4 linked regions of the Pelodiscus sinensis genome follow. The protein of the gene in region 2 binds, or shares a complex with, the protein of the main gene of each other region. Links are inferred from orthologs where the notes say so. Each region holds a gene or a part of one and is shown on either strand. Other genes may lie near its edges. The genes, in order: ERC1, PHLDB2, PPFIBP1 and PPFIA1.

Region 1 (7,027 bases), about 49 Mb from region 2:
GGCAGGATTAGATATACCTGAACCATCCCTGAGAGGTTTTTACCTAACCTTGTTCTTAAAAACTTGTATTTACAGGGATTCCACAATCTCCCTGGGTAAAATACCCTTATGGTTAGTAAGATTTTCCTAAATTTCCCTTTCTGACAACTAAACAGATTATTTCTTGTCCTACTCTTGGAGACTGTGAAGAACAATTGATCACCATTATTTTTGTAAGACTTTTATGTATTTGAAGACTATGTCTCTGCTCAGTCTTCTCTAGATTAAACAAGCCCAGTCCTTCAGCCCGTCTTCATAGCATGTTCGCTAAACTTTTTATCAACTTTGTTGCTCTCCTCTTGAGTCTATCCAATCTGTCCACATCTTTTGGAAAGCATGAAGCCTTGAAAACATGGTCACAGTACTGCAGCTGTGGCCTCACCAATGCCAGGTAGAGCAGAACAGTTACTGCTCAACTTTTACATGAATACATCTTAGAATAACATTTGCCTTCTTTTATAACAGCATCATGTTTGACTCTTACTCAATTTGTGATCTGCTATAGCTCCCAGATTTTTTTTGCAATACTACTGCAGTTTGTAGTTGTGCATTTGATTTTTTTTCCTTCCTCAGTGCATCACTTTGATATGTGTATTTATTGAATTTCATTGTTGATTTCAGATCAGTTCTCCAATTTGGTGAGGTCTTTTTGAATTCTTATTCTGTCCACAATTAGGGATGTTAATGGATAACTGGTTACTTGGGGAGCAACCGCTCCTCCCCCGCCACCTGTGTTAGGTGGAGGGTCTGCTCCAGCACCGCTAGGCCCTCACAAGGGGCTGGGAGCTGGCAGCCCTACACAGAGTTGTTTTTTCCAGCCCCCCATGGGCTGGGCACCTGCAGCCCTGCAAGGGGTTGTAAACAGCCACACTGGAGGAGCCCCAGCCCATGGCAGGGAGGCTGCTCCAGCGTGCCCCTTTTTAACCAATTAAATGGTTAAACTGAATTTTACATCCCTATCCACAGGCATGCTTACAGCCCTTCCCCGCTTGGTGTCATTTGAAAATTTTATAAACATATTCTGTACTCCATTATCCAAATAATTGATTAAAATATTGGATCGTACTAGACGTAAGACCTATTCAGATCCACATTTGATCAGTCCTCACACTTTGACATCAATTATATTATTGCTACTACTAATAATAAAAGGGATGTAAGGGGGCGGGGTCCCCAGTAACCTTGCCGGGTGATGCTTTCCTGTACCTAGTAGTCTGACTGGACCCACCAATCGCAGGTGGGGGACTGCTCCATGTGAAACAGTGTTTAATCAGTTAACTTTTTAAATGATAGTTTACATCCCTAAATAATAACTATCTCTTAATATGATTTTTTTTCATTTATTTGTATACCCATATCATCTAGAGTAGACAATATTTCCCTAGTTTGATTATAAGAATGTAATGTGTGACTGTGTCAAGTCCAGATATTGTATCTACTGCTTTCTACCTATCTACTATTCTGGTAACCCTTTCAAAGAAGGAAACTAGATTGGTTTGGAATGATTGGTTCTTGGCAAGTACATGTTGACTATTACTTAGTATTCTCTAGAATTGTCTTCTCTGGCCCCTCTTCCACCAATGTAATGTCCAATTCTTCCCAGGCCAAATGGCTCCTCGGGTGTTTAATAAAATCATATTCTTTTTATAGCTGGCAGGGATTGTCAACTTGCAGCAAGCATGCCAAAGATAGCAAGTTGGTTGAATGGTACACGGTTCAATCAGGGTGCTTTTTAGGATGCCCTGCAGTTTATTTTCCTATTTTTCTATCATATTTTGTACAGATAAAGTTTGTTTTTATCCACATTTGAGTTAACCAAAATTCCTGTTTATGTGAATGCACAACATACCCCATGCTCCTTCAGGGAATTAGAATTTTCAGTCCCAACAATGGAGAAATGGAGGGAGAGCAGCTGCAGGAGACAGGGACCTCTTTAATGTTAGGAGGAAGGGGGGTGGTAGTGGAGGAATTGATAGAGACCTGGGGGAGCAGGGAGTGACTCCCCTCCCCACCCACCCCCACAAAAAGCTTGGCTCATTCCGTCACTGCACTGCCTCATCCATGCTGGAGCCATCATGATCATGCATGCAAATGCTGACTTCATTTCCTCAGGGCACTTGGTATCTAAGAGACAAGGAAGGAAGGTATGGCCCCATATCCCTTCAAGTGGAAAGTCCAATACTTGGTGTGGTATTTTGTTGCCAAAGATCTACTTTTGTTGTGGGTTGTAATATAAATGGTGGATCAAGCATGGTAGCTGATGTGGAAGACTCAGCAGTGAAAGTTTATCCTGGCACATGAGTTTGATCTAAATGTTATGTATAGACCAGGTTTAATTCTGAAGCTTCTTAGGAATATGAGCATGAGGTAGAAATTTCACCCCATAATCATAGAATAATAGGACTGGAAGGGACCTCGAGAGGTCATCGAGTCCAGCCCCCCGCCCTCAAGGCAGGACCAAGCTCCGTCTACACCATCCCTGACAGATACACTGTTTGGATCTCTGTTGTAACTCCATCTCCTTCCTCTTCTCCCCAGATTTTGTTGATCTCAACAATGGCAAATTCTATGTAGGAGTTTGTGCATTTGTAAAAGTCCAACTCAAGGTAAATGGATGTGATTTTGTTTGCTCCATCTGCTGGTGAACTGCTAGTTGATTAAGTACCATGAATGACAGTATTACTGTGTGTGTGGAGCTGAACTGCAACACACCATAGTATTGTGTCAAACCAGACAATCCTATGGGCCCCTGGAAAGCTGAACTTACTAGAGAATACATTCCAAGCCACTTAATACATATAGTCCACAAACGAGAGATGTAGTATTTTAATCAGCTGTCTAAAAGCAAAAGTTCCAGTATTGATTCCTTCATTTTTTTTAACTCACCTCTCAGGATGGGTCATACCATGAAGACGTGGGTTATGGAGTGAGTGAGGGCCTGAAGTCCAAGGCATTGTCCCTAGAAAAGGCAAGGAAAGAAGCAGTGACAGATGGGCTAAAGAGGGCACTAAAGTAAGTGGAGAACCTGAACATTTCTTGCTCATTTTCAAAAGATGGCATAAGAATACAATACGAAATTCTCAGTCATGGCAGGCTCTCTTGTCCCTCAGGTGCTTTGGAAATGCTCTTGGGAACTGCATCCTGGACAAAGATTACCTGCGATCAGTGAATAAACTTCCTCGTCAGGTGCAGTATGTGGGACTTTGGAGAAGGGGAAAGCAGAGTAATTTAGTTTGCCAGGAACCTCCTTGTTCCTAGTTGTATACCCACATCATCTAGACAGTATTTCCCTAGTTTGATTATAAGAATGTAGTGTGTGACTGGCTCAAGTCTTAAAGTCTAGATATATTGTATCTACTGCTTTCTACCTATCCACTATGCTGGTAACTCAAAGAAGGAAACTACATCAATTTGGAATGATTGGTAGGTCACTGGTTCAATTCATGTTTTGAAAGGGATGGAAACCATGAATGTGTCTAGTGGCAATGATTCCACAATCTTCCTTGGCTGCTAGTTATTTGACTATTCTTTGTAAAATATTTTTCCCAATAGCTCATCAAAATTATACAATTCTGAAACTTAAACCCATTGTTTCTCTTTCCAGGGGTCTTGTTTACTCTCTTCTTGTCAGATTCCCATCTCATTCCAATCACTATAGTTTCTGAGCACCAGCCCATTCTGTATCTTTACTGCTAGTGGGTCCAGCTGCACCCTTGTTGGTAATAGTTTAAATAAATACTATTATAGATAGGGATGAACTAATTCCAGTGCCACATCAAAACATGTTACTTGAAATATTGTACTGTGCTATGTACAGTAGAGCTTCTTTTAAACTAGAAAATTTTCAGATAGCATCCCACAGCAACTGCCCCCAGTCCGCTTTCACTATTTGTAAACAACAGTGGGAGCTCTAGTCTAAAAGAAGTGCTGCCAGCCACTACTTTTCCCCCTGCACAGCTGTTGAAAGTTTCAGCTCTCCTCTAACAGTACTGCATTGCAGAAATCTTCAGCATACAGAGAACTGAAAATTTAGGGGCTAAGAAAAATGTGCTGAATGTAATATAAAAAACACTTCATTGGTCTCCTGTACTGACTATTCGTTATCATATTTGCTATAATGAAACCCCTCCACTTTGATATATTTGGAAGCCACCACAGAATATCTAGTATGCTACAGAAATTAGAACAGCTTGCCATAGACTTTAGTTCCAGTTTACCAGAGAGTCTTATATGCAGATGTAGAGCCCTGGGAGTGCTGACCTAAGGGAAGGATCCAGGAGGAGCAGCTATCAGTACCTGATAGATAGAGAATGCCATATTGGAATCAGGTGGGTGGGCTTGGAGGTGCTGATTTATTATCTCAGTCAGTACCAATGGTGGCTGAAGCACAGTATTGCAGCTTCCTGTGGAATTAATATGGACACTGCAAACTCCCCAGTTGTATGTGGGTGAGAGAGATCCCTCTGACACCACTTTATATTGTTCTATCTAGCTTCCCTCAATATGTGCTCAGTTAAAGGGTGGAATATATGATTCCACTCCTGCATTTGAAGGGAAGAAAATGGTCTGCCCAGCTCTAACACATGTCTGTGTACACATCTATAAATTTAAAGTGTGATTTTTTTTTTTTTTACTCCCTTACCTACCTACCTCCCTGTTGTGGGATTGTCCAGATTCTATTACTTCTATATTTAAATATTCTATTGTGTGTTGGTATAGAGGCTAGCCAATAAACATTCACTAACACTGCCAATGATAGTGGTCTGCAAACAACCACTAACTCCTTTCAGAATACAGAACCAAACCAATCCTTTAAGGACAAAAGCGGCCCAGATACTGGTTTAAGAACTGCTAGAGAGGGGGACACAAAACATGAAATATTGTTGTAAGATGCTTTGAGTGTCTGTGACTTTAGAGTTAATGGGGCGGGGAGAATTGGTCAATGAATTACAATTTTTTCCTGTATTAGCTGCCTCCTGAGTTGGATTTCACAAAAGCAAAAAGGCAAGATTTTGAGCCTGCAATAGAGAAGGCAAGATACAGTAGCTGTCTGCAGAAACATAGTACAGGGCAACCCCAGCACTGTGAGAGCGTGTCCCCACACAAACAGGGCCAGGAGACAGCTTCTTCAAGCACAACGGAACAGGAGCAGCAAAATAGCTCCAGGTGAGTGTTTAATCTGTTTAACTTTGTACTATAAATGAGCACCCCTCCCCAGTTCTGGTCACCTTGTGCTTAAAATGTACAAATTCCTCCATTTACTCCCAAAATTCCATATCACTCTAGTGACCAGAGCATATATGAGCCACGTTAAGTGGAAGGCTGGTTCTTTTAATTCAGACAATACCCAACCCTATATTTGATCCATAGCTATTATACCCCACATTCCTCCAGGAGCTTTTAGGAGGCATTCAGTCCTAAGAGCTACTTTATAAGGTGCACAGTACTGTGGCTCTGAGCCAGAGAATACAGGAGTCAGGCAGCTCCTTATCAGGCAGGAACAGAACCATGAGGTTCCAAGGCTGTAACTCTTGAGTGAGGTGGTTAGCGCTCTACTTCTGCTTGGGCACCATAGCAGGTGTCATAGTCAGTTCACATAACTGTATATGCAATATTTGCATTGGCTTGAGCTCCTCCCATTCCAGAGCCTGCAACAAGAAGTGATAAATGTTGTCTTATATGTAATTCAAAATACTCTGCTACTCGAGTTTGGGTCAGGTTTGTGTATATGGTTCAGGCACAAGAGCAGGGTTTCAGCCACAGATTTCCTGTATAAACTTGGACAGGTCCTAGTCCTGTGCTTGCTAGAAATGGTAATACTTAAGCCTCCCTGACAACCCTGAAGTTGTAAATAGATAATGCTTGTAAAGCATGTTGGGAGTTCGGGGAGCAGCTTTGGTTGGAAAGTGTGATAGAAGAACCATCTATCATAGCTGGATTTTCCCTAGCATGCTATTGGTATAAACTTCCCCCTTCCTACTGTGTAATTATAGCTGAAGTGCCATCTGACTGTGTGTTTATTTCTTGGAGCAGAAGTAGCATCTTAGCCTGTGGGAGCGATGCCACTTACCAGCGCAAGTTACGGCAGAAGCAACTTCAGCAGCAGTTCCGGGAGCAAATGGAAAAAAAACATCAGATGGCAGTAGCCAATCCCATCAGCAAACAGGGTAGGGCAGGCCACTGTTAATCTGCTAGTCTAACAACCGGGACTATATCTACATTAAACATTACAGCAGCACAGGTCTGCCACAGCAGGTGCTTTGCAGTAAGGGCTCTCATGGACCTACAGTATGCAAGTGAGAGACACCTCTCCCCTTTGCATAATTAAACTATGCCCAAGCAGGGATAGCATTGATCACAGCCACTTGTCAGTGTAATTTATGTCCATCAGGGGTGTGCTTTTTTCCTCTCTGGTTCCTGACCAACAGCCCTGACCAAGGTGCTGGAGTAGTCACAACCCACCCTTACCCGTGAGTTAGGCTGGAGTCAGGACCTACAAGGTTAAACTGTTCAGCTGCCTAATTTTACCACCACTTGTTTGACTGAAGAAAGCTTATAAAAAGAAATCTCAAGTCATACTTGTTCCCTATAGGTCACGGCTGTGGATTCAAACAAGACATGATCAAAATTGCCATTATGTTCTCTTAGGAAAGGCTTAGCCAGTGCTGCTATAGAGTACCAACTGGGAATATTGAGAAAACCAAACCTCTGCTTACAGTTCAAGAAATTTTTGGATATTTTCATTGCGCATAGTAGGCCTTACCAGATATCATTTCGTGTCTTGCCCTCCACACCCCCATTTCTAGTGAGTGGCAAGAAGTGGATGTAGGACAGTTAGTATCTTTCTGAAATTACCTGAATTCCTTCCCCCATAGGGGCATCAGGTAGTGTCTTTTGCCTTTGTGGCACTAATAGTTCTTCTTTACCTGTGCCTAGAAGCATCTCTTCAGTCACTGATGAAGCATAGCACTCCAGCAGCAGCGCACCA
Region 2 (7,304 bases):
TGGGATAACTTCATCTTGTACATATTCCCCTCACCTAGTCCTCATAAGGATCTTATATAATTTCAAGAAGTATTTACACAGTAGAGCACAGCTATCAGGTAGGTAGCTTTCTATCAAGTGTGAAGTTACCTACATTCACATGTATTGAACAAATGGCCCTGAAAGCTGTCACTGCAGTCCTCACTACATCAGGCTGAAATTCTCCAAGTAGCTTTGAATACCAGTAGGACATTCTTTCATGTGGCTGACAAAACAGAAACATACTGTTCTAAAAAGAAATATGCAGCACAGATATACACAGAACTGCATAAAAGACTGCCTCTCAGTCAGTATCCAGCTGGATATGGAGTATTTCTCCTTGCCATTCCTTCTTTCCCCAGTCACTACCATGCCTGTGGGGCAGGGATGGGGACCTAAACAGAGTGAGGGCTAAATTTGAAAACAAGTAAAATTGCCTCTCTCCTATCCCTCTCCCCCTGAAACAGAGCGCACACATACCATAAGCAGATGATTACACACTCATCCACATTCTGAATGGCATTATTACACATCTCCCCTGGGGGTGCGGTAATACATCTGTGTTGGGTTCTGTTTAAGAACCATTGCCAAGTCAAAGAGTCCAAGTACAGCCCACACCTCTGACCTTCCCCAGCTTGAGCCAGAAGAAATTCCTCAGAATAGGTTGGGGTACCAGCCTGTGCTCCGATTGCTGATGGTTTAGTTTTGTGGGATGGAGCTGATCTGTAAACAGAATATCTGGGGCTGCATCACTATGAGACAAATTTAGAACCCACCACTTTCTCCACCATCACCACTGGCAAACAGTTTAAAAGTCAGTATTAATTCAAGACAATCAGAGTTCATGCTAGATCCACATTCTTTAATTATATCTGTGCCTAGGTAGAACTGCTCATAAACTGAACTCCCCTGTGGCAGTCAAAAACATCAGGAAAGCTTTAAAGGTTTATTGTGCTGGAGGAAACATGAAAAGAATCAACAGTAATAAAACAAAGAGTCATTAACTTAGTCTTGCTCTGTCCCCTCCCTGCTAACAGGTAAGAGATCAGTGATTTTGAATACTTCCTTCTTGCACATCCCAGCTGTGCTTTTCTGCTGGATTGTACAATCAGGACTCCAGCCTGGGTTTACAGCATCCCAGCCTGTTGCTGACTACACAAATGCAACAGTCTGGAATCCCCACTGGCTAGGATAAGGCCGAGGGGGAGGGAGAAAGGGCTTTGTTTAGTAAAAGGAAAGTCACAACAATGTGTGTTATCTAGCAGAAGAGGAAAAATACAAATGAGAGGAAAACGAGGTTGAAAGGGCCAATGAGAAGGAATGGAAGTTACTTTTACAGTATTTTATAAACATGTATAAATCCAGAAGCTAACACACAATCCTGTAAACAACAGAGGTCATCGTCCAATCAAAGTACCAGCTACAGATCTCTGGCGATGGATGGAAACTGTTTAGCTCAGTCATTAGTTCTCCGAACACAAACAGAAAGCGACCCTTGGTCCATTTTCGTAGCAGAGGCATTCCCCACAACCAATGGGTCCCTTGGGAGGCGCATGTGACCTTTAAATCAAATGTATGAATTATGAAAATTATGAAAAGCAGGGACGAGACAAAAGCCTCCTTCCTTCAAGAACAGACAAACTACTTAGATCCCGCGACAGTGGGACATTTGGAAAGATTTGAGTAGGTTTGTGATTTTTAAGTAGGTTCTGTCTTCTGTTTTTTCCCCAACAGGAAATCTCCACTTAGCACCCCTCCTCCAATCCTCCCCTTTTAGCAATCCTTAAAGGGGTGCTTTGAATCGCTCACTTTGTCTTGGCTGAAGCCCCTTTTACACAGGCTGTTTAAAGCAAGTCAGAATAGCCCCATTTTCCTCCCACAGGCAGCTTCTGACCCCCCACCCCCCTTTCCCCCTCTTACCAAATCAGCGTTTGCCCCCAGGAATTTCAATGAGCGGGTTGTCCACATTTCAAGGGGAGGCTGGAAAACGACTGAACTACTTTGATGCAACCAGTTGGCCCCGGAGGGGGGCTGAGGGAGTTCAAAGGGAATCCCTGTCCCAAGCACAAGCATCTCCCCACGCCTCCTTCCTTACGCTCACTGCTCCCCCCAACCCAACTGTTTTGTCCCCAGATCCCCCGCCCCACACACCCCTCAGAGACAGACACAGGCGCACACGCTCTTAGACGCGCAAGCAGCACACGGCGGGCTGAACGTGCACTCACCTCCTCCTCCGGCAGCAGCTGCCCGCTGCGCATCCCTCTCCTTCCCCCGCCAGCCGGCCTCGCCGCCCAGCCCCAGCCGAAAGCGGCCCGCCCTCCCCCCAGCGCCGCCCCACGCCGAGCCCGGCCCCCAACCCAAAACCAGCCCGGCTCGCAGGGGCTGCCTCCTTCCTGCCCCCGGGGCTCACACAGCCGGGAAGCCGCCTGCGAGCTGGGGCGGCGGCAGGGGGAGGGGGGGCAAAGCAGGAGGAAGAGCAGAAACAAAGAGAAGGGAAGAAAGGGGGGGGAGAGGGGACAGGCACGAGGGGAGGGAACAGGGAAATTGCAAGAACGGGAAAACTAAGCAAGGCTGGAAAGCCAGAGGCAAACAAAGGGGGGAAGGGAAGGGGGGCTCTGCAGCTGAAATAATGGGGGCTACTCCCCGGTGCTTTGGGACACCGCGAAACGCGCCTCGCGGTTCATGGCACGATTGGGCGCTCTGAGGCGTGCGAGCCAAGCTGGAACCCGGCCCGCGCTGCGCCCCTTTGCTCCCCAGCGGCTGGGCAGTGGCGCTGGAGGGGCACCGCGCGCGCCCCTTCCCGCCCCAGGCACACGCGGGGGAGTTCGGTGACGCCACTCCTGGCCCATGCTGTGAGCCGGGGGGGGGGAGGGAGGGCGCTTACGCAATTCTACAGTGAGCAAAGCTTCAGCAAACTTCCAGCGAGCTGCCTGTCGGCGCTTAGCAAACCCCACATCAAGGGATGAGTCGATTTCCTACCCGACTGTGACCAAGCGGAGTTGATTGCTCAGAAAAACGCAGGGCAGATTTTCGCTTGAGTTGGGAGTGGCGGCAGACGAGCCCCAGGAAAAGGAGGTGTGCACGCTGCAGCCTGCATTGCACAGATGCCCAGCGTGTGTTTATCTGCCCTGCTTCCCCAGTAACTTGAGGCCACTTGCTGGTTGAGTCAGGCTGCTTTGCATGCCCTGGGGTTTCAGAAAAAGAAGCTGCAACATCTGCATGGTAGTACTGCCCGCTAACCCACTTGGTCAGCTAACCTACTAAGTGGTGAAAAGCTCAGTTGCTCCAACTGCTATCAGTGATTCCCAACCTTGTTCCTGTGGAGGAACCCCTACCTCTGAAAACATTTGTTTGGCCAGGAAAAGTTGACAGTGGGGAGTGCAATACAATTACTGCTAAATTATTGTCAGGAAAATTTATGGCTGCATCTAGACTGGCATGATTTTGCAGAAATACTTTTAATGGAAAAGTTTTTCTGTTAAAAGTATTTCCGCAAAAGAGCTTCGAGATTGGCACAGATGCTTTTGTGCAAATAATGCTTTTGCACAAAAGCATCCGTGCCCAGTATAGGCACGCTTTTGCGCAGGAAAGCTCCAATGGCCATTTTAGCCATCGGGCTTTCTTGCACAAAAAATTAAGGTGCCTGTCTACATTGGCCCTCTTGCGCAAATATTCTTGTGCAAGAGGGCTTATCCCTGAGCGGGAGCGTTAAAATACTTGCGCAAGAAGCACTGAATTCTTACATGAGAACGTCAGTGCTCTTGTGCAAATTCAAGCAGCCAGTGTAAACAGTTGGCAAAATCTTGCCAGTCTAGACACACACTATTTGTAAAGAGCTGTTATATATATATGTCAACTTACATTGTAAGAAAAAAAATTGTATTTATTTATGCCACGATTTCTTGCAGAACCTCTGACGATGGTCTGCGGAACCCTAGAGTTCTGCGGAACCCTGGCTGGGAAACACTGTGCTACCTGGAGAACCATAAGCCAATGTCTCTTGCTGAAATCTTCCCTACAGTAACACACATGCAAAATGAGGCTAGTGACTGACTTGTGATCATCATCAAAGAAAACTTAGTTGGGACATTATAAACTTCAAAAGTAAAATTTCAAGTCAGAAGGGTGAAGGAGAGAGGAAGGGACCCCAGTAACACTAGCTCCTGGGCAACTGCTGCCCAAGGAGATGGCACCAGGTGCACCTAATAGGCTGGAGGCCCCATGTGCTTGGATGTTGCTTGGGACTGGCTCTGGGGCAGCACCCAGGTAATGAGTCATCATTAATCAAGATGCCCTCAGCACCTGAGCCACCAAATATTCAAAAAAGCAGCACCCAAAGAGAGAGGCAGTCAAATTCCAGGACTCAGATATCCCTACAACCACCCTGTTCCCACCTGTGAATCCAAGGCTTTTCATTAAACCTAACAAACTTGTTATGGCTTTTGGACTCATAACAATTACCCTGTATGTGGCCTACATTGGCTATTTACATGCAACATAAGAGAATAAAAGGGACCTCCTTGAAGCTGTTAACAGTGAAGGAGCCAGGTACATGAGGAGAAAGACTTCAAAGTGGGTTTAAAGAAGCTGCTTAATAACAGAGAAAAGAGAAAGGAGTGATTGGCAAAGTAGGCATCTGAATTGTTAATGTTAAATTAGGTGGCTGCTAACTGTTCTATGCAATTTTTGGAATGATGTATATAAAATTAAATCCCATTTTTATTCCATTTTACAATGTCATACCTGTACCTATAAACTTTTCAGAAGACATACACAGTAACAAAAAGGTTAAGAACTAAAAAATTCAAGTCTTAGGTGCGTGAGTTTGTCTCAGGAAAAACAACAGCATCCGATGAAGTGGGGGTTTGCCCACAAAAGCTTAAGTCCAAATAAATCTGTTAGTTCAAGTGCCACAAGACTCCTTGTTTTTTAAGTAAATTCATTGACATATAAACTACTCTGGCAGATTGGACAGTCAGCCAGACACTTCTGAATTCAGAGTTTGGTCCTTGTTGTGTGGCCTTGTCAATTAATTTTTCACTGTTTCCCACTGAGTGAAGAAGGAATAACAACATTACCTACCACACATAAGGGTCCTGTGAGGATTGGTGAATTTTTGTAATATTTTGAAAATGCAAAACACTATATAAAAAGTGTTAATTATTACCATCATTTACTGGAAATCTGTTAGTTATGATCTAGCTCAGGAGTTCCCAAACTTTTTGATACGGGGACCAGTAAATCCATTCACGAGCTTTTGGAGGACCGGTAACATTCATTTGTATATTTGCATATTCATTAAGCAAATTACAAATATGCAAATATGGTGATTTTGGTCCTCCCAAAGCCCCCAGAGCCAGCTTTAGCAAAGCTTTTGATACGGCCACCCACACTATTCTTACCAGCAAGTTAAGGGAATATGGATTGGAAAAATGGACTGCAATCCAATAAAACCCTGCACCACCACATCATGTATTGAAAAGGGGCTCATTTATTTTCAGAAAGCTGACACCATCTTTGGAATTTTTTATCCATATTCTCATTCCGGATGGTGAATGCACCAGGTTCTCTCCATTCTGACACATTACAGTGCCTTTAAACCTCACTGTCAGCAGTGGGAATATTTAAAAGGCACTGCTTTTACATTTTTATTTAGGATCTGAGTGCGCCCTGAACTGTCCTGCTCACCGCTGGCCGATTCTCCCTTCCCCCTCCCCCCCACCAGCCCAGCTGTCCCTGCCAGCCGATTCTCTCCCTATCTCTCCTGGCAAGCCCTGCTGCCCCTGCGAGATGGTTTCCCCCCCACCGCGATCTCCCCTGGCCCAGCCCCACTGCTCCTGCCCCCCAGCCAGCCCTGCTTCCGCCGGTCAGTTCCTCAGCCAACCCCGCGGTCTCCCCCAGCCAGCCTTACTGCCCCCACGAGCCAGTTCCCACCCCCGCAATCTCCCCTGGCCAGCCCCACTGCTCCCACCATCCCCCCCCCCCCGGCCCGCCCTGCTTCTGCCAGCCGGTTCTCCTCTCCCTCTCCTCCTCCCCACGCACGATCTCCCCTGGCCCACCTCCCAGCCAGCCCTGCTTCTGCTAGCCATTCACCCCCCCCCCCCCCAGCGATCTCCCCTGGCTAGCACCCCCTCCGGCACTGGCCCCTGTACATGGCAGCCAGGACAGGTGTTTTATTGAGTCATTTCTAACAATGAAGCACATCTTCACATCTTCTAACAATGAAGCACATCTAGAGGTTATAGTGGACCACAAGCTGAATATGAGTCAGCAGTTTGATGCTGTTGCAAAAAATGCAAACACGATTCTGGGATGCATTAACAAGTGTGTTGTGAGCAAGACACGAGAGGTCATTCTTCCACTCTACTCTGCACTGGTTAGGCCTCGGTTGGAGTATTGTGTCCAGTTCTGGGCACCACATTTCAAGAAAGATGTGGAGAAATTGGAGAGGGTCCAGAGAAGAGCAGCAAGAATGATTAAAGGTCTAAAGAACATGACCTATGAAGGAAGGCTGAAAGAACTGGGTTTGTTTAGTTTAGAAAAGAGAAGACTGAGGGGGGACATGATAGCCGTTTTCAGGTATCTAAAAGGGTGTCATAAGGAGGAGGGAGAAAACTTGTTCATCTTGGCCTCTGAGAATAGAATAAGAAGCAATGGGCTTAAACTGCAACAAGGGAGGTTTAGGTTGGACATTAGGAAAAAGTTCCTAACTGTCAGGGTAGTTAAACACTGGAATAAATTGTCCAGGGAGGTTGTGGAATCCCCATCTGTGGAGATATTTAAGAGTAGGTTAGATAAATGTCTATCAGGGATGGTCTAGACAGTATTTGGTCCTGCCATGGGGGCAGGGGGCTGGACTCGATGACCTCTAGAGGTCCCTTCCAGTCCTAGTATTCTATGATTCTATGATCTTTCTTCTAATATTTTTTCAATGGACTCCACAAGCATTAAGGATGCTTTCTGATGTTGTTATGGTAAGTACAGGTAATAGAGGGATCACTGTGCAGTGAATCACAGCAGCTGTTATCTAACAGGTTAATACTATACAACAGCTTAGCTCACAAAAATGAACCATCTGTACTTACAGACTCTTCAAGTAGGACAATGATTTTATGCAAGACACTGGGGGCTTGTCTATGCTGCTCTGCCATTGGACTATAGAAGTCTGATTAGCATTCATTGTACCTCTCTCATGTGAATGCTGCCATAAGACTATACTTTTCCTGAAATGTCAAATAACTCTCAGTCTCAAATGTTTATATCTTTTGGTGTCCTATCTTCAGTCC
Region 3 (6,862 bases), about 37 Mb from region 2:
AATCTTAGAAGACTTAATAAATCAAGTCAGCATCAAAGCAAAACAGAACCCATATCTCCTGGTTCCCAACCCAGTGCTTCAATGATGCCTCTCTGATTACCATGGTACTGATTTTACTGAAATCTACACTTACAATGTGACCAGAAGTCAGAAGTCCTTCACAAATGTTAATTCTTAAACTATGACTCTTGCCTTTAATAGAAGCAATAAATCTGGATTTGACACACCAAGACATTTTATTGTCAGACATTTGATCACACAAGCATGAAGAACATTTTTCCTTTGAGGACTCAGTTTGAGGAATGCAGATACTTGTTTTGCTCAGCTCTGTGGCATATACTGAAATGGCATCAATGAACAACTTATGCAGTGTAGCTGTAGCCATACTGGACCCAGGATATCAGACCCAGGATATCAAAGTGAGTGAGGTAATATCTTTTATTGCTCCAACTCACCAACAGAAGTTGTCCTAATAAAAGATATTACCTCACCCACTTTGCTTCTCCAACAATCCACTCAAACATTTTACTATTGAAATCCTTTTTGGGGTCAAAGCAACCAGACCAAACCAGCAAAGCCTCTGAAAGCTCTCAAGATAACTAAACTTTAGCTACACAGGCATAGTTAAAGCAATACTAACTACTCTTGTGCATAGACAAGCATTTTCATTTAAGAGTCAACAGTATACAATCCCCCTCACATGAACACAGTTATACCAGCAGAACTATTGATGTTAGGGAAGGTAAATAAGCTATTTCAGTATAAGGAATTTCTATACTGGTATAGCTGCATCCACACTAAGGGTTACACTGGTTTAAACAGTCTGACAAAGAGCACAACAAAATAGTTATATAAGACTGTGTAGACCAGGCCTTAGAGAAGGAAACATCGCTAACCCAAGGCACACCTAGCTTTTTAATGGTTGTATTTGGAAGAGTTCTACTGAATCCATGAATTATGAAAGAGCTTGAACTTAAGCACACCTTTCTCCTACCATCTTCCTAGAAGCAGAATGTCTCCATGGCTTGTAGCTAGTGACTTTCAAGAATACATCCCAGTACACGCGGTATGGCAAACCAGACACAGATTCAACCCTTTTGCTATAATGCACTATATTACACAGTAACAGAAATATGACAGGTTTAAATTTAGACCTTCTTCTAATCAGCTTCATTTTTCAAGCCTAGTAAGTGGCTAGTTAGCAGAGTCCAGTAGTCTAAATTTTGTCATCACCTGTTTACACACACACACACACACACTTACACACACTTAGTTTTCATCCCTATTGGCTGGCCTGGAGAGGATGCCATTTGATACACACCACTCTAGTGCCATGAGTCTAGCTGCCAGCTAACCATTCACTCACAGCGAAGCCAATTCCTGTTCCCTTATGGAGATGCTACAAGGTGGGAAGAAAGGGGGTTACCTTCCTTTGGACTAAGGAAAGCAAAACATTGGAAACATGACTCATCACCCTAGATTATTTCTGTCAAACCCTAGCTAAAGATCAAGAAACAGGCAATGTCTTTTGCAGCAAGGGGAAGAGGGGGGAGACAGGTCGACAGCTCTCTCCAAGAGAGTGGCTACACAATCTCTAAATACAGTTTAAAGTAACCAAGGCAGATATGGCTTTTAAAGTTTTAAACACAGTTGCTTCTTTACCTTTTTTTAGTAGGCACAAGATTGATTTGTCTCATTGCAATGCATAAGCATTAGCCAGATCTCCTTCTAACTTTGCCCGTTGAAACTGGAGTCCACAGCAATCAGGGGAAATAAAGAAGTCTATGTTCACATGAGCCCTTCACTTTCCAGAAAGAGCAGAACTTTAAAAGCAACAGAAAATGTTCCTGTGTTAAAATTAAGGAGGAAAGCGGAAATGGCTGAGACGAGCAGGATTATCTGTGCTGCTCAACTGAAATGTTTCCCAAAAGGCTGCTTTCCCTTAGATTTAGGAGACAGGTTTGCAATTAACACATGCAGCTGAATTTCACACAGCCTCCCACAGAATGCAAATAACTTACTGAGTGCAACATTTTTAATTAAATAAAAGGCACCTACAGCCTTTCTTGGGGATGAGAAAACCCATAGTGCTAGTGAACTCAATCAGCTTCTAGAAGATGATTTTTTTTGAGAACCCTAGTCTCAGTCACTACACTGCAACAAATTAAGCATGTTATTTGAAGCAACATTACAACCAACCAATGCTTCCTGTTCTCTTTTCCACATAGCATGGTATAAGCCTGAAGCCAGAAACTTATAGCACCTGAAGGCACCAGGTTTTCTTTTTCAAGGAATCCTCCCTCCCCCCTTTCTCCACAGAGAAACCATTTAAACACACACACATCCTTACAAACACCAGATTTGCAATGTACTACAAAGCATACAATCGCCTCCCCCACCACTTTTTTTCGGTCTGCAATCTCTCAGCATTTTCCTTCACACTCTGCTACCTCCTCCCCAAACAAATCCTTCCAACTATTGCAAACAAACCTTCTACAGGAAACCTTCCCACGGACACAAACACCGTCATGCTGCAAGGCAGACTGAATTAGGTACTGTCTCGCCGCCCTTCCGTGGGAGCTTTGCCCGATCCGTTACTGAGCAGCCCCGCGCTTCAAGTAAAAACCCAGAGGCCAAGAGAGAAGAGAAAGGGACAGGTTTTGTTTTGGAAGGAGGAGCAGGAATTGCAGAGGGAAGCTGAGCCCCAGGAACAGCAGCTGCAGACAGCCCCGTGTTGCAATACCACCCTCTTTTCCTGACTTCCACCAAAGTCCAATCCGACCCAGCTACCTGGGTGGAAAGCAGCCAGGTCCCTCCCCAAAAGTTCTGCCGCCCCTTCCCCCAGGCCGAGCGCGGTACCTTCTCCCTGGGCAGCCTTGTTAAACCCTCGATCGCCCCCTCCTCCCCGCCGGGCTCGCTCCCTGCCTCTCGCACCAGGGCAGGAATCCGAGCAGGGGCTGAGCTGGGAGCTGACGTCACTCCGGTTCCAGGTACCTCCCTCCCCGCGGGGAATGGCCACAGAGGCTCGGGGAGGGGCGGGAATGGCAGCCGGCACCCTCCAGCTCATTGGGGCCGGGAGCAGTCACTCAGGGGCAGGCAGAGCATGTGTGCGTTCCAGGCGGGGAGCGCCAGTCCTGCTGGAAATCGGGACGGGGGGGGGGGGGGGCTGTGGATGCGACTTCCCTGGTGTCTCTGGGCAGGGGGCGGTGGTTTCACGAAGCGCTCAGGAAGCCAATGCTGGGCACCTTCTGCATGGGACAGTCCTGACCTCCGAGCCCAAAAGGAAAGTGTAAACAACCCCCCTCCCCGGTTACACTGCAAGTGTGATTGACACCGGGGCTGCCCCACTCTCTGGGGGTGTTCCCTACACAGACTGTTCAGAATCGACACACGCTCCAAATCAGGGCCAGCGCCTTCCCCAACTTTCAACTTCTTAGGACACGCCTCTTGCACCCCCACCGAAGAGCAACGTCTCGCAACTCCCACACAGACACACACCCAAAGATTCCTCCCTGCAACGCCTCTGTTGATACTCCCGGGATTGTTCCCAGCTAGGCTCCAGCAACCTGTGGGCACCCCGCGGAAAGCTGCCTGCAACAGAGTAGGGAGGAAAACAGGAACCCAGCGCTGCATTCTCTAAACCTCTTGCACACAAACATCTCCGGAGTTTGGCTCCCTCGTAATTAGAAAACATGCTCCAAGCATTTGGATTTCAATACAGGCTTTATCCAGAGTAACCCATACTCACTAACTCAGCACACACAGTCAACTCTGAAGCAAAATGCAGGACAATGTAGCACTTTAAAGACTAACAAGATGGTTTATTAGATGATGAGCTTTCGTGGGCCAGACCCACTTCCTCAGATCAAATAATGGAAGAAAATAGTCACAGCCATATATACCAAAGGATACAATTAAAAAAATGAACTCTGAATGAGCCAAACAGGAAGAGCATCCACAATTCCCCTCTTTTAGGGACTATCAGTAAAGTCATCGCTTTTACTATGTTTGGGATCGTCTAACAACTATGCAAACCACTACAAAGCTCCTACCTTTAAAATATTACTACTACTAAAATAAAAATAATAAAAAGCAAGCATTTAAGGATAATAGCTTGTATAGTGTCCTTCTTGTAACATGGCCTCTGGAGATGTTTATTTTGGGTCTGCACATCCTAAACTCAAAACTCAGGTCATCTGAAGAAGTGGGCTGTGCCCACAAAAGCTCATGGTACCAGCTACATGTTTTGTTAGTCTATAAAGTGCTACCAGACCATTTATTGTTTTTTAAGTTTAACTTCTGGAGATGGTGGGTACTGGCCTCTGCTATGTGATGTGATATTAATAATTTGTATTCTTGAACTGATAGTTCCTGAATGGAGCCAGAAAATAACATTAAAGTTGGCCTTTATCTTAATTACACTGAGTATTCGTTATGTAAGCAATCCCACCTCCCTCCACTCCTGTAGATCACCTTCTGCGAAGATCTAAATTTGTTCCCCAACTAGCTTCTTCTGAATCAGAAGATGCCAACTGTGGATGCCAAACATGATCTTTGTTGCACTACGTAACTTGTCCACACTTTGCCTCCGTGATTTCTATCACTCTTCCATGCAAAAAAATGAGCCATTATAGAATCATAGGACTGGAAGGGACCTTGAGAGGTCATTGAGTCCAGCCCCCCCCCGCCCTCAAGGCAGGACCAAGCTCCGTCTACACCATCCCTGACAGATGTCTATCTAACCTGTTCTTAAATATCTCCAGAGAGGGAGATTCCACCACCTCCCGTGGCAATTTATTCCAATATTTGACCACCCTGACAGTTAGGAATTTTTTCCTAATGTCCAATCTAAACCTCCCCTGCTGCACTTTAAGCCCATTACTCCTTGTCCTGTCCTCAGAAACCAAGAGGAACAAATTTTCTCCTTCCTCCTTGTGACACCCTTTTAGATATTTGAAAACCGCTATCATGTCCCCCCTTAATCTTCTTTTTTCCAAACTAAACAAGCCCAGTTCATGAAGCCTGGCTTCATAGGTCATGTTCTCTAGACCTTTAATCATTCTTGTCGCTCTTCTCTGTACCCTTTCCAATTTCTCCACATCTTTCTTGAAATGTGGCGCCCAGAACTGGACACAGTACTCCAGCTGAGGCCTAACTAGTGCAGAGTAGAGCGGCAGAATGACTTCACGAGTTTTGCTACCAACACACCTGTTGATACAACCTAGAATCATATTTGCTTTTTTTGCAACAGCATCACACTTTTGACTCATATTCAACTTGTGGTCCACTATGACCCCTAGATCCCTTTCTGCCATGCTCCTTCCTAGACAGTCGCTTCCCATCTTGTATGTATGGAACTGATTGTTCCTTCCTAAGTGGAGCACTTTGCATTTCTCTTTATTAAACCTCATCCTGTTTACCTCTGACCATTTCTCTAACTTGCTAAGGTCATTTTGAATTATGTCCCTATCCTCCAAAGAAGTCGCAACCCCACCCAGTTTGGTATCATCTGCAAACTTAATAAGCGTACTCTCTATCCCAATATCTACATCATTGATGAAGATACAGGCAGTCCCCGACTTACGTGGATCCGACTTACGTTGGATCCCTAGATACGAACGGGGTGAGGCAACTCCCGCACATGCGCAGCAGCATTCCCGGGGCTCACTCACCTGGGTCCTAGGATCCTCCTCCTCCTCGGGCCGGCTCTGACTGGGGTCCCGCAGAGCTGCCGGGCAGAGGAAAAGTGCCTCCCCACGCCCGCTGCCCCCCCACCCACCCCCCTGCCAGCAACAGGCTGCCCCCTCCCCTGAGCAACAGGCTGCCGAACAGACAAAAGCAGCCTCTCCGCTCCTCCTCCCCTCTATACATGCTGGGCTCCCTGGGCAAACAAAGACTCCACCAACACAAACAAAGTGCTGGCCTCATTGTGTTAGCAAAAAAAGGACCCTCCTCCTAGAACCCTGGGTGGTGTGTGGAAATAAAGCTATTAGCTCAAAGCATGGTGCAGAGCTGTTTGGTATTTGATGAGTTACTCCTTTAGTCCTGAGTTTGTCACAGGGACAGAAATAGATGTGAAATCTTCTGAACAGGGGAACAGACAGCAAAACAAACATTAGAGGGGAGTTAACCTTTCCCTATGCTATCCAAAACTAAAAAAAATGTTTGGCTAGAGTTTCCCCTACAATATGTACCAGTTCCGACTTACATACAAATTCAACTTAAGAACAAACCTACAGTCCCTATCTTGTACGTAACCCGGGGACTGCCTGTATTGAACAGTACGGGTCCCAAAACAGACCCTTGCAGAACTCCACTTGTTATCCCTTTCCAGCAGGATTTAGAACCGTTAACAACAACTCTCTGACTACGGTTATCCAGCCAATTATGCACCCACCTTATCGTGGCCCTATCTAAGTTATCTTTGCCTAGTTTATCAACAAGAATATCATGCGAGACCGTATCAAATGCCTTACTAAAGTCTAGGTATATGACATCCACCGCTTCTCCCTTATCCACAAGGCTCGTTATCTTATCAAAGAAAGCTATCAGATTAGTTTGGCATGACTTGTTCTTCACAAACCCATGCTGGCTATTCCCTATCACTTTATTGCCCTGGCAACCCTGTCGCATCAGCACCCCACCGTAGAGAGGCCCGTCTGGAGTTTGGAGAGCAGCACCAACTGGTGGAACCGGGTGGTCCTCGGACTATGGGATGACCAGCAATGAATCAGGAATTTCCGGATGAGAAAGCGGATCTTCATGAAGCTGTGCACCTGGCTCACCCCCCCGCTCCAGAGAGCCGCCACCTGGCTGCGGGCACCCATCCCCGTGAAGAAGAGGGTCGCCATCACGCTGTGGA
Region 4 (7,168 bases), on a different chromosome or scaffold from region 2:
TTAAGGATAATAGGAAGGAGGGTTTTCAAGTATATTAGGAGGAAAACAATCCTAACAATGGTATTGAGACATTTACTAAAAGGGAATGGTAGAATTAGCAAAGAAAAGACAGAAGTATTGGGTAAATAGTTTTTCTGTATCTGGGGGGAAAAAAAGATGATGTTGTGTTATAATTTTTTTTTCCACTCAACTATCTTCTCAAGAGAATGTTAAACAGCAGCAGCTAAAGTTAGACTTGTTTAAATCAGAAGGTATGGATAGCTTACATCTAAAAGTTCTAAAAAGTTAGCTGAGGAGCTCACTGGACCATTAATGCTGATGTTCAAGAAGTCTTTGAACACTGCAGAAATTCCAGTCCTGGAAGAAAGTCAGTGTTGTAACAATATTTAAAAAGGGCAAACAGGATGACCTGGGTAATTATAGGCCTGTCAGTTTGATCTTGATCCCAAGCAAGATAATGGCGTGGCTGACACAGAACTCAATTAATAAAGAATCAAAGGAGGGTAATATAATTAATGCCTATCAAGATGGGTTTATGTAAAATAGATTAAGTCAAATTAACTTGATATTGATGCAATTACAAGGTTGGTTGATAAAGGGAATAGTGTTGATTATATATGGATTTCTGTAAGATGGTCGAATTAGTATTGCAAAACATTTTGATTTATTAGAATTATATAAAATCAAGATGCCACATACTAAAAGTGTAACTGCAAAATGGAACTAACTAAGCAGGTATCCTTCAGGAATCAGTTCTTGGCCCTGTGCTGTTTGATATTTTTATCAATGATATGAAAGAAAACATCAGATTATCACTGATTTTGTTTGCAGATGACACAAATTGGAGGAATGGTAAATAATGAAAGACAGCACTGATATTGGATAGCTTGGTAAGCTGCATACAAGCAAACAATACATGTTTTAATATGGTGTCATGCATAACCCTTAGAACAGAGAACAGCTGAACATGAGCTCTCAGAGTAATGCTGTGGTACAGAGGGCTAATGCAATCCTTGGGTGTGTAAACAGGGGAATCTCAAGTAGGACTAAGGAGGATACTTTACCTCTCTCTGGCACTAGGGCATGCACTCATGAAATGCTGTGTCTCTGGTTCTAGTCCTCACAATGCAAGAAGGATATTGATAAACTGGAGAGGATTCAGAGTTATGAGAATGAATAAAGGATTAGAAAACATGCCTTTCAGTGACAGACTCAAGAAACAAAGAAGAGAGAGTTAAGGGGTGACTTGATGACAGTCTATGGGGAACAAATATTTAATGAACTCTTCCGTTTGGCAGAGAAAGATGTAACAGGATCCAAAGGCTGGAGTTGAAAGCTAAGCAAATTTAAACACAAAATAAGGGTGTGGTTTTTTTAAACAGTGAGGGTAATTAACCATTGGAACAGGGGTTTTGATAGATTCTCCATCATTAGCAATTTTAAAATCAAGATTAGATTTTTTTGTCTACAAAATATGCCGTGGCACAAGTTCTTTGGCTTGTGTTAGACAGAAAATCAGACTAGAACAGTGTTCTGTAAGAATGTGGCACTCCCCCGCCTCCTCTATTTTGCAGGGGGTTTTTTGGGCGGGGGTTGCTCAACAAAAATTCTGGTGGGTCTTTTTTTTTTCTTGACAAAATTTTACCCTGGCAACCCTAGAGGTTCCTTGAAATTCTTTTAAGCTGAAAAGGGTTCCATGGCCAAATAAAACTGGGAAACACTGGACTAGAGGATCAATTTGATCCCGTCTGGCCTTCTAATTTATGGATCACTGCTGGTAGATGTTTGAACTCCAAATAAGGTTTCTAAATGCATAAACCCAACACCCTTGTCCTGTCACTCACTTGCTCCATTTCTCGCCCCCCTCCCCTTGCTTGCTCTCCCCCACCTTCACTCAGTTGCTCATTTTTACCAGGTTGAGAAACAGGATTGAGGTCCAGAAGGGAATGAGGGATCTGGCTGGGTGTTGTGGGCTCTGGGGTTGGTCCAGTAATGAGGGGTTCAGAATGCAGGAGGGGGGTTGCAGGCTGAAGCAGGGGCTTCAGGTTCATGTTCTGGGATGAGGCTAGGATGAGAGGTTTGGGTACAGGAGAGTGATGTAGGCTGGGGGCGTAGAGCTGAGGGGATCCGAATATGTGTGGGGACTCCAGACTGAGGCAGGGGGTATGGGCTCTGGAATATGGCTGTGGGATTCAGATGGGGACAGAAATGAGAGGTTCAGAGTAGGGATGTTACAGTATAATTGAATAACTAATAAGCACCAGCTTATCGGTTAATGGTGTCAGCTACACTCAGCTGGCTCCTGGGGTGGAGACTTTGCTGTGGCAGAGCAGTGAAGCCACCTCCTTTGGAGCAGAGCCAGCAAGAGCGGCCTGACCTTCTCCCCGGGAGCTAGGCCAGCAGGGGCTGGTAGCCCCTTTCCCAGGGAGGCTTTGCTGTGGGCTCTGCACTATAAAGTTAAGCTTTATGCTGCAGACCCCACAACACGAGTAACCGTGTCACTGCTGAAAATCTCAGCAGTGACATGGTTGCCCTACTACATGATTAACATCCCTAGTTCTGGTTGCAGGTCAGGGCTCTGGATTGGGGCAAGGGGTGTTTGGGTGCACGAGGGAGCTCAACGCTGGGCACTGGGTTGGGGTCTGAGAGTTTGGGTGCGTAGGCGTCAGAGAGCTGGGGCAGAGATGCAGGAGAGGGTGTGGGGTGCAGGCTTTGAGAGGGAATTTGGATGCAGGATGAGATTCTGGGTTGGGCCAGAGGTGCTGGGGTGTGGGAAACAGGCTCTGGATGCTGCTTGCAATTTCCAAGGAGCCTCCCCACTGCTGATGTCACATGCCTTTCAGCTCAGCCTACAGGCACTGTCACCACAGCTCTCATAGGGTGCGGCCCCACACCAGTGGGGGCAGGGTGTGGAGCCCTCTGACCATCCCTTTGCATACGAGGCAGAGGGACATGCTGCTGCTGCTGGGAGCTGTACAGAGCCAGGTTGCAAGCCTGCCAACCGGACTTCTAGTTTCCTGGCTCAAGCTGGAGATCGAGCTCTTGGCCCCTCCCACCCCACTGGCTCCTAGACTGATTCTGAGCCAGAAAGTCTGCAAAGCAATGGAACAACCCTCGACCCTGAAGCCTGTGTGCCCAAGGCAGCTGGCTCGGCCCAGCCTTGGCAGGTGTCTGGTTGCTGTGCTTACATACCCTTTGCACCTCAGCCATATGAATGGGGCAGTTCATTCCACTCAGAACTGCTGTTCCAGGCTATCTGCAGAGCCACCTTAGTAGCTCTGTTCCTGAATCTGAGGGGTTCTGCACAACTGCAATGGACTTAGGGTTGCCAGATGGTTTCAACAAAAATACCGGGCACACTTGACATTACACCACAATCTACAGTACATCTTATTTCGAAAATACAGGGCATTTCCGTTTTCTCATTTATATTTTCTCAATTTGTTTCCCGAATAGGAAGCTCAAATACTGGACTGTCCGGTTCAAAACCGGACACCTGGCAACCCTAAATGGCTAGATTACAGCCTTAGGGGCTTGAGTACTGTCCCGCTAAACTGTTGTGGTACAGTCAAAGCTGTGCAGCCCTCTCCGCCCCCCCACCAGCAGGCAGGCACTCATGTTGGTAAGGGGAAGGGAATCATACTTTCATCATCTAATAAACCATCTTGTTAGTCTTTAAAGTGCTACATAGTCCTGTATTTTGTTTCATACTGACATAAATTACCTTTGAATACCAAGGTACAACTTCATTCCCATTAGGGCTTTAATTATATTGATTTTAACCCCCCCCCCCCCCGAACGGATCCACAGTCCCATGGATAACACGTTTAAGTGTAGGTCGAGTCCCATGAAAACGAAGCGTGCGGAGAACGAGGAGTGGCTGGGGCTTGCGGCCGTCCCGCAGCGGCTCGAATGTCTGGCACAATCAGGCCGGAGGGAAGAAATCCGCGTTTGCGATCGTATTGCACGAACGGGGTGGGGAGCAAGGGGGCACTTCCACAAGCCTCCCCCCAGCGCCGTTCGCTGCACAGCCGCGCCTGCAGTGACTGTGCCGCCTCCGCCGTGACTCTCGGGCTGCGCAACTCTCACCCCGCCCCATCCGCGCAGGGCAGCCGCGGGGTTGGTGCACGCAGCCGCGACACGTCAGTGCTGAGCGCCCGAGGCCGGCCCCCGCCGGGAGGGAGGCGGTCGAGGGGAGTCTCGAACCGGCGGCCTCCCAGCGTGGAGGAAAAAGGGGAAGAGGGACCGGGAGCCCCTCGGCGCCGCGCGGTGCATTCTGGGACCCGCACTGATTTGGGCCCGAGCCGCGGAGAGCGCCGGGAAGAGCGGCCGGAGGCTGCGGGGACGCGAGGCAGCGGCAGCGGCGGGGCCCGGCCGGTTGCTCCGAGGGGAGCCCGCCCAGCCGCCCCCCTCCCGGCTCATCGCTGGGCCTAGGCCGCCGCCGGGGACTGCGCGGCACCTTCCCGGCCTCGGCCAGACCCGCACCGGCCACCGTGGAGGTGGCGGCGGCTGGGCCAGGAGCGATCCGCGCGTCGGGGCAAGCCCGGGAGAGAAAGCGGCGCCCGGGCCCCTCTGCCAGTCCCGACTCCTCGCTGAGGCTCCCGGGAGCCGAGACTAGTCCCGCCGCTTAGGGGAGCGAGGCCTCCGGGAGAGGGGCCCTTGCCTAGGCCGGCGCTCCCCTGGGGCCTCCTGTCTGCTCCGAGATCCATCCTCGCACGTCGGGGTTCCGGAGGGGCTGGGGCACGACCCCACAGCGCTGGACCTCGGCTGCAAAGCAGCGGTCCTTCTTCCCGCAGTCGTCCCTGCACACACACCTGGCCCCCCTCCCTCCGCTTCTGGGATACTCTTGGGAGAGGGCCAGTCGCTGGGCTGCAGCGGGACGTCTCGGCGCCGGAGCCTTTTCTGAGGAGTCATTGGGGGTGAGGGTAAGTGTAAGTGGACGGAACAATAACCCCAAGTACAAATACCTCCAAAGCCCCGCCCGACTTTCAAAGCAGAATCCAGCAGCCTCCACCACTGGGATTATAAATGTGTGAGAGAAGACCCAGGAAACTGAGGGAAGGAAAAGATCCTACTGTTGTTAACAGAGGGGGGGAGAAGGAAAGCTCTTCCAAATACCCTACAAGAAAAGCCATCTCCCGTGTTCTTCCTATTTTTACTCTTTTGAATAATGCGATTGTGACCTTAGAGGGATTTCTGAACCTTGCCCTGCTGAAGCTTGTTGCACCAGCAGGGTAGAAGTGGCTTTGCCTTTGCACATGCTTCCCCCGCCGGGGCTGTTGCAGGAACTGTGGCCATCAGTAGAGAGGAGAGCTGAGACTGGTTTCATTCCAGCCACTCTTTTCTGCCTTGGGGACTTGGCTGATCTGTTGAAGCCATTGCTGCTCCTACTGGACCTATTCTTTACTCAGCAGGTTGATGTATCCTTTTGTCTCTGGGGTTCTTGAGTAAACATTGTACCCAAGGTGGATGGCAGCTCTACAGTTTTTCAGGTGTCTGAGGATCACACACAGCTGCTGAAAGAACAGAAGATAACTGGTGTTGCTGGAATTTTGGGGACTGTTTTCAAGCCATTTTGAACAAGGTAAATAAAATTTGTGATGTTTAAAATAAAAGGGTCTGTGGTTTAAAATGACTTTTAAAAAGTGACACTGTCTCTCTGAAATTCATTGTAAAATCTAAAGAGTAAGATCTTCAGATTTAATTCTGAAATGTAAGCAGTTTTGCAGAAGAATAAACTTCTACTGCTTTAGATGTTCAGATGAAGTCTGAAGCCTGATTTCATTTTTATAGTAATTGAAAATATGGAAGAAGTGTGTGATGAGATGCTTTTTCTACTCCTGTAATAAAACTGATTACTTCTCTGTTTGTATGCGTTTGCAAATGGATTCTTGTAAGCTTGCAAAGAAGGTTAAAGCGCACTCTGCCCCAAGAATTCTTGAAGGTCTTAGTGGTTCAGTATTGATGCTGAATAACAATGCTTTCTCATTTCCATTGCTTTTTAAATCTGAGGAACAGAAGTTTCTCCAAGCTCTGTTTTTAAGTTGTGATGGCTCAGCATTCAAAAGGGGCAGTAAGGTCCTGCTTAAATCAATGATCTTCCAAGTTTGAGCTCCTGTTGTGAAAAAAGTAACAAAGCTTTACCATTTATTAAGCATGATGGCACAAAAATATTCTCATTTTTATAAACTTCTGTGCCTCAGTCTATTTCTCTTTACAGGCATCTTTTACTATTGATATCTACAGTGATAGTGTAATTGACATATTCCTGCAGTACAAATGTTTTTGGTTTTATTTAAGTACTCTTATCTGAGAGTTTCAATGTCTTTTCACCTAAAACTTTGGTTTTTGTGTCCTCTGGTTTTCGTGTCCTCTGGATTAATCTAATCTGATTTTTCCAGTTGCTGCATCTAGAGGCAGAAATGTGCTACTGCTAACTTTTTTTGCACCAAAGTGCTACAGTAAAGATTGTATGGACAGTATAACAAATTCAAAATATGTGTCTCGGTTATGAATTAATCCATCTGTTTTGATGTCAGAATACAGTTTCATGAGTTTGAAGGATCATCTTTTGCTCTTTCCAAATAGTTGTGCAGTTCAGTAGATAATTGGGTTAACTGTGTCTTTTTTTGCTGACTGTGTGTGGTTTCAGTGCTTTTTGAAGGTTCTAGCAACAGATTTTTTTTAAGCATAAATCTCTCAAAATAAGGTAACAGGTAGTAAGTACCATAGAAACACAGCCTTGCAAGAAAATCACAAGGTCTTTAATGGGAAGTGGCACTAATATTTGGAAAATTTAGTTGTACACTGCATTACATCTGTTGTATAATATTACACAACATAGTTGTAAACACCTAAGTTATTTCAGCCTCCTTGGTGAGTATCATTGGTGGAGCTAAATTGATAATGTATTATGGTCCTAATTTTTCTTGGTATAGGAAAGGGACTTACACATTCTGATTTGCAGACCTTTTTTTGGTAGATGTACTCTTTGTGTTTTTGGTTTCTACTAATAACTTTACATTGAATTTTTTATTTCAAGATGATGTGTGAGGTGATGCCAACCATCAGCGAGGCAGAGGTTCCTTCGGGGGGAAATGGAAGCCATGGTTCAGGCTCCCCTTTACAATCGGATACTGATTCCCATTTTGAGCAGTTGATGGTATCC

The links.
Region 1: PHLDB2 (region 2) and ERC1 share a complex: the UniProt entries of both Homo sapiens proteins name them as parts of the cortical microtubule stabilization complex. The link is inferred for Pelodiscus sinensis from reciprocal best matches to the Homo sapiens genes PHLDB2 and ERC1.
Region 3: PHLDB2 (region 2) and PPFIBP1 share a complex: the UniProt entries of both Homo sapiens proteins name them as parts of the cortical microtubule stabilization complex. The link is inferred for Pelodiscus sinensis from reciprocal best matches to the Homo sapiens genes PHLDB2 and PPFIBP1.
Region 4: PHLDB2 (region 2) and PPFIA1 share a complex: the UniProt entries of both Homo sapiens proteins name them as parts of the cortical microtubule stabilization complex. The link is inferred for Pelodiscus sinensis from reciprocal best matches to the Homo sapiens genes PHLDB2 and PPFIA1.

What each region holds. Positions count from the first base shown.
Region 1 is NC_134711.1:108,149,862-108,156,888, reverse strand, and holds the start of ERC1 (ELKS/Rab6-interacting/CAST family member 1), read right to left. Parts: upstream 2,933-7,027; 5' UTR 2,926-2,932; intron 2,646-2,925; coding exon of another isoform or gene 2,578-2,645; intron 1-2,577. Other genes in the region: DNA repair protein RAD52 homolog, read left to right, coding at 2,578-2,645, 2,933-3,051, 3,150-3,225, 5,009-5,205, 6,073-6,206, 6,976-7,027. UniProt on the Homo sapiens protein: Regulatory subunit of the IKK complex. Probably recruits IkappaBalpha/NFKBIA to the complex. May be involved in the organization of the cytomatrix at the nerve terminals active zone (CAZ) which regulates neurotransmitter release.
Region 2 is NC_134711.1:156,652,220-156,659,523, reverse strand, and holds the start of PHLDB2 (pleckstrin homology-like domain family B member 2), read right to left. Parts: upstream 3,020-7,304; 5' UTR 2,998-3,019; intron 2,486-2,997; exon of another isoform or gene 2,244-2,485; intron 2,121-2,243; exon of another isoform or gene 1,939-2,120; intron 1,579-1,938; exon of another isoform or gene 1,436-1,578; intron 1-1,435. UniProt on the Homo sapiens protein: Seems to be involved in the assembly of the postsynaptic apparatus. May play a role in acetyl-choline receptor (AChR) aggregation in the postsynaptic membrane.
Region 3 is NC_134711.1:120,150,793-120,157,654, reverse strand, and holds the start of PPFIBP1 (liprin-beta-1), read right to left. Parts: upstream 3,017-6,862; 5' UTR 2,860-3,016; exon of another isoform or gene 2,856-2,859; intron 2,795-2,855; exon of another isoform or gene 2,491-2,794; intron 2,148-2,490; exon of another isoform or gene 1,663-2,147; intron 1-1,662. UniProt on the Homo sapiens protein: May regulate the disassembly of focal adhesions. Did not bind receptor-like tyrosine phosphatases type 2A.
Region 4 is NC_134714.1:88,189,099-88,196,266, reverse strand, and holds the start of PPFIA1 (liprin-alpha-1), read left to right. Parts: upstream 1-4,150; 5' UTR 4,151-5,584; intron 5,585-7,042; coding exon 7,043-7,168. UniProt on the Homo sapiens protein: May regulate the disassembly of focal adhesions. May localize receptor-like tyrosine phosphatases type 2A at specific sites on the plasma membrane, possibly regulating their interaction with the extracellular environment and their association with substrates.